2 linked regions of the Cricetulus griseus genome follow. The protein of the gene in region 2 interacts with the protein of the main gene of each other region in a pairwise test. Links are inferred from orthologs where the notes say so. Each region holds a gene or a part of one and is shown on either strand. Other genes may lie near its edges.

Region 1 (5,007 bases), on a different chromosome or scaffold from region 2:
TGCCAAGGATTTGGATTCCTGTGTCTGCTCCTTTTTGGCTCATTTGTTGTAGACAATAGCTGTACTTGCTTGTCACCCTAAAAACAGTAGCCTTAACCACTAATTGGCAAATCACCCCCAGACTGAATGTTGGTACTCCAGCAAATGCTTTATGCCCCCGCCCCCAAACTATGATGGCTCAACTTACAAGAACCCTTACCACTGTTACAGAAAGCTCAGGTATGAGCCCTAGTAACTACAAGGCACTCCAATTCTGGGGATCCAACACCCTCTCTAGTCACTTCAGATACCAGACATGCATGCGGAACTCACAAGCAGGTTTATGGCTTTTTTGGTTTTTGAGACAGGGTTTCTCTGTGGCTTTGGAGGCTGTCCCGGAACTAGTTCTTGTGGACCAGGCTGGTTTCGAACTCCACCTGTCTCTGCCTCCTGAGTGCTGGGATTAATAAAGGCATGCACTACCGGTGCCCAGCTAGGATTTTTTCAATAGCATATAATGTATATAATCACAGGTGGCAGCAACTATGTGCTTCTCGTGTATACTGGACTGTTTAGTCACTGTCTCTACAATGCACTTTTCATTTTAAAAGACGGTGCCCAACTATTTGAATCTGCCAGCCTAAACAATGTAGACCAAGATGGCCTCAAACTCATGGCAACCCGCCTGCTTCGGCCATTCAAGTGTTAGGATTACAGGCCTGAGACACCGCTCGAAGCTAACATGACTACTTTCAAATCCCTTCTAAAAGTTAATAAGGGTTTACAGATCCTTCTCAACCACCCAGTTTGCTGCCTTTCGCTGAGTAGATAAGCTGTGCCAGTCATTGTGAAAAAGTCTTTATTTTAAGAAAAAAATTTAGTTAACAAAAAATTTAACAAGTTTCACTTAGCAAAATACACCCAAAAGGAAATCACAGTACAAAGAAAGCTTTAAGTCAAGGCCTCACCAATTCCTACAGTATTAGTATTGTGTCTCAATTCTCAAAACTAACTTTTAAAAAGCTTAAACTTAACCTAAAGATTTAAATGAAAATATAAACTAGAATGAACATGAGAAATGCTTCTCTTTGCATCAGGGATCTAGCACCTTTTGAGTTCTCCAGAAAAGTACATGTCCCCAGTGTGTTCACTGTGGTGTGCTTAAAGATCCGCTCAACATACTTAAACTACTTAACTCAGATAACATCACTCTTAAGTATACTACCAAAAATGTTAATTGAGAAAAGCGGAAGAAAATAGTTTTAGTTTACTCAATATTACATGCTAGAAGAAAAGTTTGCATGAGAAACACTGAAGAGGTAATTTTTTAATCCAGATTTTCACAAACTCATGGTGCAAAGTGGGTCCCCCAGCTTCCTCTAGAGTTTAAACTGCTCTTGACTGCTTATTGGCTGCCTGTGAAATTTTTGATTGAAATAACTCAAATGCTCCTACTATACTAATCATATCCACCCATGCTGTTCTGACCGCTGTAGCCGGCCCCGTAACAGCCACTCACTGACTGGCTCTCCAGGCCACTGTAAGTCGCCTGGGCAGCTGACACTCCCATGCCCTGCATCACCTGGCTGCTATAAGCCCCGTTGCTAGCCCCTGTTGTTGAATTCAGGAAGAGTTCTATGTATCTGTGCTGCATGTTGGCCCTGTCCTTCGACATGGCTGCCACTGCTTCTTCATGGGTGGCAAACTCAACATCAGCTTCTCCCGTCACTCTTCCATCAGGACCAATCTCAATATGAACTCTCACGGGGTTGAGTGGAGAGAAGAAGTTGTAAATGTCGTTCTCCGTTGCTTTGTAGGGCAGCCCTCTCATGTGCACGCAGTGGCCGGTGGTGCTCTGCACTGTGAACTCGCTGTCTCCATATCTGTGGTCATACATTCCTGAGAGACAGTAGCTGAGGTCTCTCCCAAACAGGTCAGTGGTGAAGCCATAGCCATCACTGAGGCCACTGTATTCTTCATAGCCCCCATAGCCTGCACTATAGGCACCAGACCTCATCCTATCCAAGCCTGCCTGTTTGACAATGCCAATGTATCTCCGTGCTGTGCCAGGCCGGTCATAAGGCCCAGGCCTCTGCACAGACATGAACTTCAGAGGTGGGTCTGAGTATGACCTAACTTCCTCCTGACTGCTCTTGAACACTTCAATATACCTGTGCCCTATTCTCTCCTTGTGCTTCCCTAGAGCTTTCTCGGCTAGCTCTTGTGAGGCAAACTGAACGAACGCCTCCCCTGTAATCTTGCCCTCCGGGTCCACAGGTAATGTGATCCCGTTTGGCACAATTTCCAACCCTGAGAAGAACTGAACAATTTCTTCCTTTGTGCATCCAAATGGGAGTCCCCGAAGCCTCACAAAGCCATCATTGGCGCTGTCGGCGCTGTTTGGACCACTGTGCTTCAACACCCAATCCATCTCGGTTCTGTGTGACTTGAACACCTCAATATACCGGTGTCCCATGCTTTCCCTGTCTTTTTTCAGAGCCAATTTTACATCATCTTCTGACTCAAGTTCAACAAAAGCCTCACCACTCTGCCTGCCTTCTCTAGTATAAATGAAATGAACACCTGCGACCCCATCATGAATTGTGCAGTCGGAGAGGAAGTTTTGTACGTCCTCAATTGAGCAGGACCAGGGTAGGCCACGAAGTTTGACCACATAGCCTTCACCTCCCTCAGGGCCCAGCATCATGGACACTTGACAGAGCTGATGTCACACAAGCTTGGGCAATTTTTGGTAGCTGAAAGAAAAAAACAAAATAAAACCTTTATACAACATTCATTTAATATGCATATTAATAATATTCATCAGACATGATTTTCTCCATTTCACAGATGGAAGTAAGGATGAGTGAAAATAACAGAAATAGCTAGTTACCAGCCATGGAAGTATACACATTTAATCAGTTTTGGAGGGAGAAACAGCTAATTTTCTCAGAGTTCCAGGTCAGGTTTATATGACTGTGACTCCCATCCAAAAAGAAAGGTGGGCCAGGATTCTGCGTTCTAGGCTAGCTTGGGCTAAGGCGTAATTCCCCATCTTTAAACTATAAACTCCTTTAATTCCAGCACTCGGGAGGCAGAGGCAGGTGGCTTGTGAATCTTCGTGAGTTGGAGACCAGCCTGGTCTACAAGAGCTAGTTCCAGGATAGGCTCCAAAGAAACAGAGAAACCCCGTCTCAAAAAAAAAAAACCTTAAAAACAGAAAATAAAAATATCCGCATGCCCCCAAAACAAGGGTATTCCTCTTATGTGCTATCAAAAAGACAGAGGTAAAGCAAAAGAGCCAAAGACCAGAGTGGGTCATAGTTCTGTAAGGCCTTGTCTAGTATAAATGACATCATCAACAGCAAAGGCCCATCACTGCAAAAGGCTAACACCCTACCCCAATGTAAAAGGAGTTTTGACAGGGTTTCTCCGTGTGGTTCTGGCTATTCCGGCACTCTAGACTCTAGACCAGTCTCAGAACCTGTCTCTGCCTCCCAAATCCTGGAAATAGAGGTTTATGCCGCCGCCACCACCACCCAGCTGTAAAATAATTGTTTTGGAGCATGGAGAAATGTATTTGGCAAGTAGTAATCAAAGGATCAGTAAGTAGTTCCAGTCACCTTCAAGTTACATACTGACATGAGACTGTCTCAAAAATAAAACTAGAGGATAGTAAGCTGAAAGTGTATAAATTTCTTGCCACCAAACCTGAAATGACGTGGAGTTTTGATCCCTAAGAGGCCAAAAGTCAGTGGAAAGCCTTGACTCTTCCTCCTGACCTCTACTTGCATACTCACCTAGACACGATATAGTATTAAAAGATGTAAATAAAAGAGCCAGGCCCAACGAGATGGCACACAACTTTAATCCTAGCACCTGGAAAAGGAGGCAATTGGGATCTCTACAGTGCAAAACCAAGGCCAGCCAGGGCTACTACATAGCCATACCTTGTCTCAAAACATTAAAAAAGCTGGACAGAGGTGGCATAAGCCTTTAATCCCAGCACTTGAGAGGCAGATGGATCTGAGTTCCAGGCCAGCATGGTCTACAAGACCTATTTCCAGGACAGCCTCCAAAGCCAGAGAAACCCTGCCTTGAACCCCCAATTTTTTTTTAGATTAAATACATAAAAATAAAGTCAGACAAAGCAAGGTAGTACACACCTATAACCAACATGTGAAGACATAAAATAAGAATAAAGTTAATACAAGTAAGAACTAATTCATGGTCAGCACAGGCTACCTACTTATTTATACTCACCTAGACTACAGAAACAACTTATATTAAAAAAACTAACAAAAATTTTAAGGAAATACCTTTTTGACCTTTTAAATCATTAAATTTAAAATACTGACAAAAATTCTACTTACCTGCGTCTACACCAACTGGAGATGACAAGAATGTCACCCCGTCTGAACAATGGTACTAAAGGCACTACTACTTAACAGTGGGAAATTGATATAGACAAAGTTACCTTGCCTATGGCATAAAGATAGGGCAAACTGTAAGGGAGAGTGGGGAATAGCCTGTATATCCCTCATATGCATAATTATATAAACATATATTTGCAAAAGTTGGATTAAAGTTGCAGGCACCTTCTAATTACCACACCCTATGCCTCACAATTTAACTTTATTGTAGTGTTGCTATGATACAGTTCCGACACTTTTCTTGTTCACTAAGAATCTGGGTACATGCGTATGTTGGAGTAACCCTAATACCCTTTTCAAAGCCAGGACATATGTAAGTCCTGTCATCAGGGACACCTGATCACTTTTTTTTTAATGTGTTGTTCCTTCACCCTACTGGAATAGATCCATATATCTAGTATTTGTTCTTGGTTTCTACCTCCAGGTAACGCCCCAGACCCATCCCTGGACCCTAATGCCACCAGTAACAATATCTAGGTGAAAATTCATTGTGGAAATCCCAAAAGTTATCTCCCCTTCTGCTTTGTGGATAGCCTTGATTGCTTGATTGTTTCCTTCTCTTCATTCCACATAACCTTCCACGGATTCCCTGTCA
Region 2 (4,926 bases):
TTCTCACAAGCTAACTGCTGGTTTGTCTCTTTCCATGGGCTATTAGTTCAACAAAAGTAGGGTTTCTTTTTTATATCCTCGAGGGTTAAAACAGTGCCTAAACACCATCACTCTGGAGGAAAGGAAGGAAGATCTATGAATTCAAAACTAGCCTGGTGTATATAGCAAGCTCCAAGACAGCCAGAACTAGACTGAGAGATCCTGCCTCAAAAACAAAACAAAACAAACAGTGCCTAACAGTATCACAGCTTCTTGATAAACATTAGTTAAGTATTACACACCTACAGGGTTTTTTTAAGTTTTCATTCATTTGTCTCCCTGCCCAGGTCACATATACAGTTAGGAAAGGGAACTTACTTGGCTTATGTTTTTAAAGAAGGCAACCTAGAAATCATTTTATACAAACACTTTTCCAAATAAGAAGAGGTCCCAAAACATGAGTTTTCCCCAGGATAATAGAGCTAGTTAAAAACAGAGGGGGGGCTAAGTCAATAACAATGTTAAGTCTTGTGTGACATGGTTTAAGAGAACTACAATAATGAGCCGGGCATGGTGGTGCATGCCTGTAATCTTAGAAATCTACCAGGAAGGCAGAATCAGGAAGGTCAGGAATCCAGAAGTTCAAGGTCATCCTCAACTACCGCAATGGGTTCAAGACCAACCTAGGCTACAAATACACCCCTGTCTCAAAAACAAAAACAAAACCTACAATCATAAAAATGTACAATGGGAAAAGTAAAGAATATCTGTAAGTATACAGAGTAAAATAATTCTCTAAGGGATAATTCTAAGTTATCCAATTGCACCCAAAGGACCTAATTCACTCCTTCCTCTGAACATCCCCAAAGTCTCTATGCTCTACTTCATTTCCAAGTATCACTATCCTTAGCCATTGTGAAAGCAGTCAGCAAATAACAGGCCATAAGCGAAAGAATGGGAAAGCAAAAAGAACTATTAACTAAGTCTAACAGAAGAAAAAAAGTGACTACACGAGTCCTCAGATGTGTGCACACAGCAAGTGAAAACGCCCACCGGCATCTCTATCCTGTGGCTCCTCTTTATCATCCAGTGCTAACCCACCTCACTTTGTCTTGCCATTCTTCCTATGCCTCTGAGATTGACCTCACAATCACTCTGCCCGATAGACTACTTCTAGGGGAAATAAAAGCCAGCAAACAAAAGAATTCAAAAATAAACACCCAGGGAGTCCTTTTTAATTAAACCAACTGAGGTTACAGTGTGGGTTCTGCAAAGGAGACAAGAGGCTCACAGCAAACATGCCAGGCTTTAAGTACAGCTCCTTCCCTGCCACAGGAAGTCAGGCAGAGCACAGGAAGTCTTCAGCGCTGCAGAGATTTCCACGAGTGGTGTAATGGAGAGAGCACAGGAATAGGAATGAAACCAGCTATCGGGTTGGGTTTAGTCAAGTCCCTAGTCTTCTCTGAACTTTTAATTCCCTATCTATAAAAATGAGGTTGTTAAAATATGCTGGAATTTGAGCACACCCTTTCCCACCACACACACAAAAGGATGCAAAGTACCGACACTTCACTGAAAGTGCACATCAGCTATTCCGAGTAACTCTTCTAAGTGTATTAGATTGAGAAGCCCTAGTGGTCCCTTCCATCTCTAACATTCTATGGTTCTAAAAGAATTAAACAGCATCCCATTGCTGCTGAGTGAGCCTCTCCATTTCACAACCAATATTTTCTAAACAGAGACCAAATCCTAAAGCCTATAAAAGATTCATGCCCTTCCTCAAACTAAGTAGTAACCCACAGCATCAATATCTTTGCCACCCCCTCATCAGTCAGCTTACCCTTGAGGGCACAACTCAGAAACCAGTGACCCAACAACCCTATAGATTTTCTTTTCTACTCCAGGACACTAAGGAACTCGCCCTACGAATGTAGAATGCAACGGGTAAAGCACTGGAAGGGCATGCCCAGTGTCTGTCTCCAGACTTATTAGCACGTTGCACAAAACTGAGACTGAACACCACGGTGCCTCCACACTACCAAACTCCGCGGACTTCTCAGGACTCCCTGTGTAACTGATTGAACCCGCAAGCTAAGCCACATCCCCTTTCGGCTCTTTCCAGGAGTTGGCTGGCTTTTCAGTCTGTCCACACATGCCGCTCCCCTTTTCCCATCCCAGTGTGCCCAGGGAAAGCCAAAGGCTCCCCATTCTTCTCGGGAGCTTTCCCACTAGCTTCCCTCGTTCTCGACTCGGCCCAACAGCTCTCCTCTGGACAAACAGATCCAGGATGCCCAACTTCTCAAGGAACTGGGGACGAGTTTAAGAAACAGACTGCATCCCGATCCTGTTCAATCCCCCAACTCCAACAGGAAAATCCCACTCCCTCGCGCTGCCTGCGGGGCCCCCTTAGGAGCACAGCCCCTGCACCGGGCCCCAAGCCCACTCTCCAGCCAGGCCCACCCGGCGCCCCGAGGCCCGAGCCCGCCGCGGCCCGCCGTCACCGGGCGCCCGTCCCGCGCGGTCACCTGCATCCCGCCGTCGGCCGCCTCCTCGGTGCGCGGCCGCTTGCTCAGGCCGGGCTCGGGTCCGTCTGCCCCCGCTCCGGGCACCGGCAGCTCCAGCTCCGACTCCCGCTTCATGCCCCGAGCAGCGGCACCGGGCCCGAGCTGAGGCGGCTGCTGCTGGCCGCCTTCCGCCATCCGCCCGCGCCCCCTTCGCCTCCGGGAGCCGGGCGACCCGCGACAGGCCACCTCCCCCTGGGCCTTGGAGCCGACAGTCGCGACAGGCGGGCGCGCGCGCCGGCCCCCCGCGTGCGTGCGTGCGTGCGCGCCGGCCCGGAGTCCCGCTTCGGCTTCGCTACCGCTCCGACTCAGGCTTCGGCTTCGGCACCGGGTCGGCTCCGGCTTGGCTTCGCGCCGGCCGCTCGCTCGCTCGCTCGCTCGCTCGCTCTCTCTCTCGCTCGCTCGCAAGCGCGTGCGCGGCTCCCTCCGTCCCTTGGTCCTTCAGTCCCGCGCTCTTTCACCACTCGCCGGCTGCGCGAGGAAGGGGGCGGCCCGGGCTCCCTGCGTGGGGAGGGCTGTTTATTTGGGAGGAGGAGGAGCGCGAAGCCGCAGCCAGCTCACTGGTCGGGATCCTCCGTCCCGCCACTGTGGCAGCACCGGGAAGGCGGGGAGAGAGAAAGGAGGGAGAGAGGGAGGGACCTGGATGTGTGGGATTCGGGCCGCCCGCGCGAGAGGAGGCTGTGGTGAGGGGGCGTGGCTACGCCCCTCGGCAATCGCCGCCGCCTCCGCGCGGGCAGCCCGCGGGAGGCCATGAAGGGATCGGAAAAGCTCGGGAATCTCCGGGATGCTCTGGGAGGCAAGGATCGGGAAGGGTCCGCCTCTTTTAGGGCGGCGGCCGGAGCGCGGAACTGGAAGGACCCGGGTACGGGGCAGCGACTCAGGCTAGAGGTATTAGTTGTGCGAAGTGGGTGACCTGTTCTCTCCCGTCTGGCTGCCTGCGATTTGGGGAGCAGACGGGCGCTCGGCGAGAGGAGGGTCTCTTTGCCTGCTTCCTCTCCTGCCCAAGAACGGAGAAGTCCAGGAATGAAGACTTTCATATATGCTTTTCTATGAATAGAATGATCGCATTCCTGATGATCTTAATAATGCTCGATGTTTATAAGAGCTTTACGGTTTACACAATGCAATCGGGACCCGTTTTCAGTCCAATGGAAGAACCTGGATTTTTTCAAGTCTTGGAGCTGAAACGTGCTCGGTCCAGATCACATTCTCTTGTTTTTACTCTTTGCTGCTTGAGTAGCCGCTACCTCACTGTTTATCAGCTTCGTGCCGTTAGGTTTGTCCAGTAGTTTTTTTCCTGCCTGGCTGTAAATAGAAGCTGCATCTGCCTCCCTGGGTCCCATACTGTGACATGTACATCGTGAGGGAATGTTGCACAATAGCCTAGCTTCTAACCTTTCCCTCGCTTGCTACTTTAAACAAGTTAGTTTTTCTTTTTGGATCCTTACTGCAGTATCTGTAAAAATAATCCTTTGAGTCAGTGGTTCACTTGGTACCTTTCCAACACCTCCCATTTCCATATTTGTCATTTGATAAATTTCACTTTTCACAAATAGAGGCTGCTGCTGGCATCCAGTGAATAGAGGCTGGGAATGTTGTTCAAAACTCTCCTGTGCATAGGACAGTCCCCACAAGAGAGAGTTGTCCAAACCAGAATGTCAATAATTCAGAGATTGAGAAACCCTGGGTTAGATGATTTCTGAGGTCACTTGCAGCATGTCTCTGACTTGGCCTTTGAACTTGAATTAAACACCTAAAAATGGACAGAGTGGTGAAGATCTGTGTCAGAGTCAGACCAGCTTAATGAGGCCCAATGTGCAGGCTAATTGGAAAAGACTATACAACTTGCCTTGAAGCTGGGTTTTCCTACTGATTACATTGTATGTTTTTAGGCTGCAACATTGATACCTTAGAAGGTCTTGACACCTTATAAAAGGAAGCCAATTAGTGACTCTTGTCCCTCAGCCTCTACACCTAAAATTAGCCTAACAATTGTATTTTTAAAGGAATTGTTATGAAGATCAAATGAGTTAACAGCATTAAGAGCTTTGATCGTGTTAAGATTTGAGTTACAAGTGTCCTCCAAAGGCTCATTTGTGGCAAGTATTGGATCATGAGAACCTACTTACTAGGGCCTAATGACCTACACAGTGAATTAATGCATTGATTGATTCATAATTGGGAGGTATTAAAGGATGGTAAAAACTGGAAGGTGAGGACAGATTGGAGGAAGTGGGTTGCTGGAACCATGATCTGAAAGCCTGTCTCTAATCCCCAGCCTCTTCCTCTGTTTGTCTCCAACCTTCTCCAGTCTACCTGGAGGTAAGTTAGTTCCACCACAGAATCCTTGCTGTGGTGTCATTTATGCCTCACCACCCTCATTCAG

Evidence for each region. The genes of interacting proteins can lie anywhere in the genome.
Region 1: the proteins of Rbfox2 (region 2) and Hnrnpf interact in binary tests that used the Homo sapiens proteins (3 or more experiments, as listed by UniProt). The link is inferred for Cricetulus griseus from reciprocal best matches to the Homo sapiens genes RBFOX2 and HNRNPF.

The regions. Positions count from the first base shown.
Region 1 is NC_048601.1:27,002,747-27,007,753, forward strand, and holds the end of Hnrnpf (heterogeneous nuclear ribonucleoprotein F), read right to left. Parts: intron 2,736-5,007; 5' UTR 2,687-2,735; coding exon 1,439-2,686; 3' UTR 822-1,438; downstream 1-821.
Region 2 is NC_048595.1:374,580,526-374,585,451, forward strand, and holds the start of Rbfox2 (RNA binding protein fox-1 homolog 2), read right to left. Parts: upstream 3,134-4,926; 5' UTR 2,679-3,133; coding exon 2,505-2,678; intron 1-2,504. UniProt on the Homo sapiens protein: RNA-binding protein that regulates alternative splicing events by binding to 5'-UGCAUGU-3' elements. Prevents binding of U2AF2 to the 3'-splice site.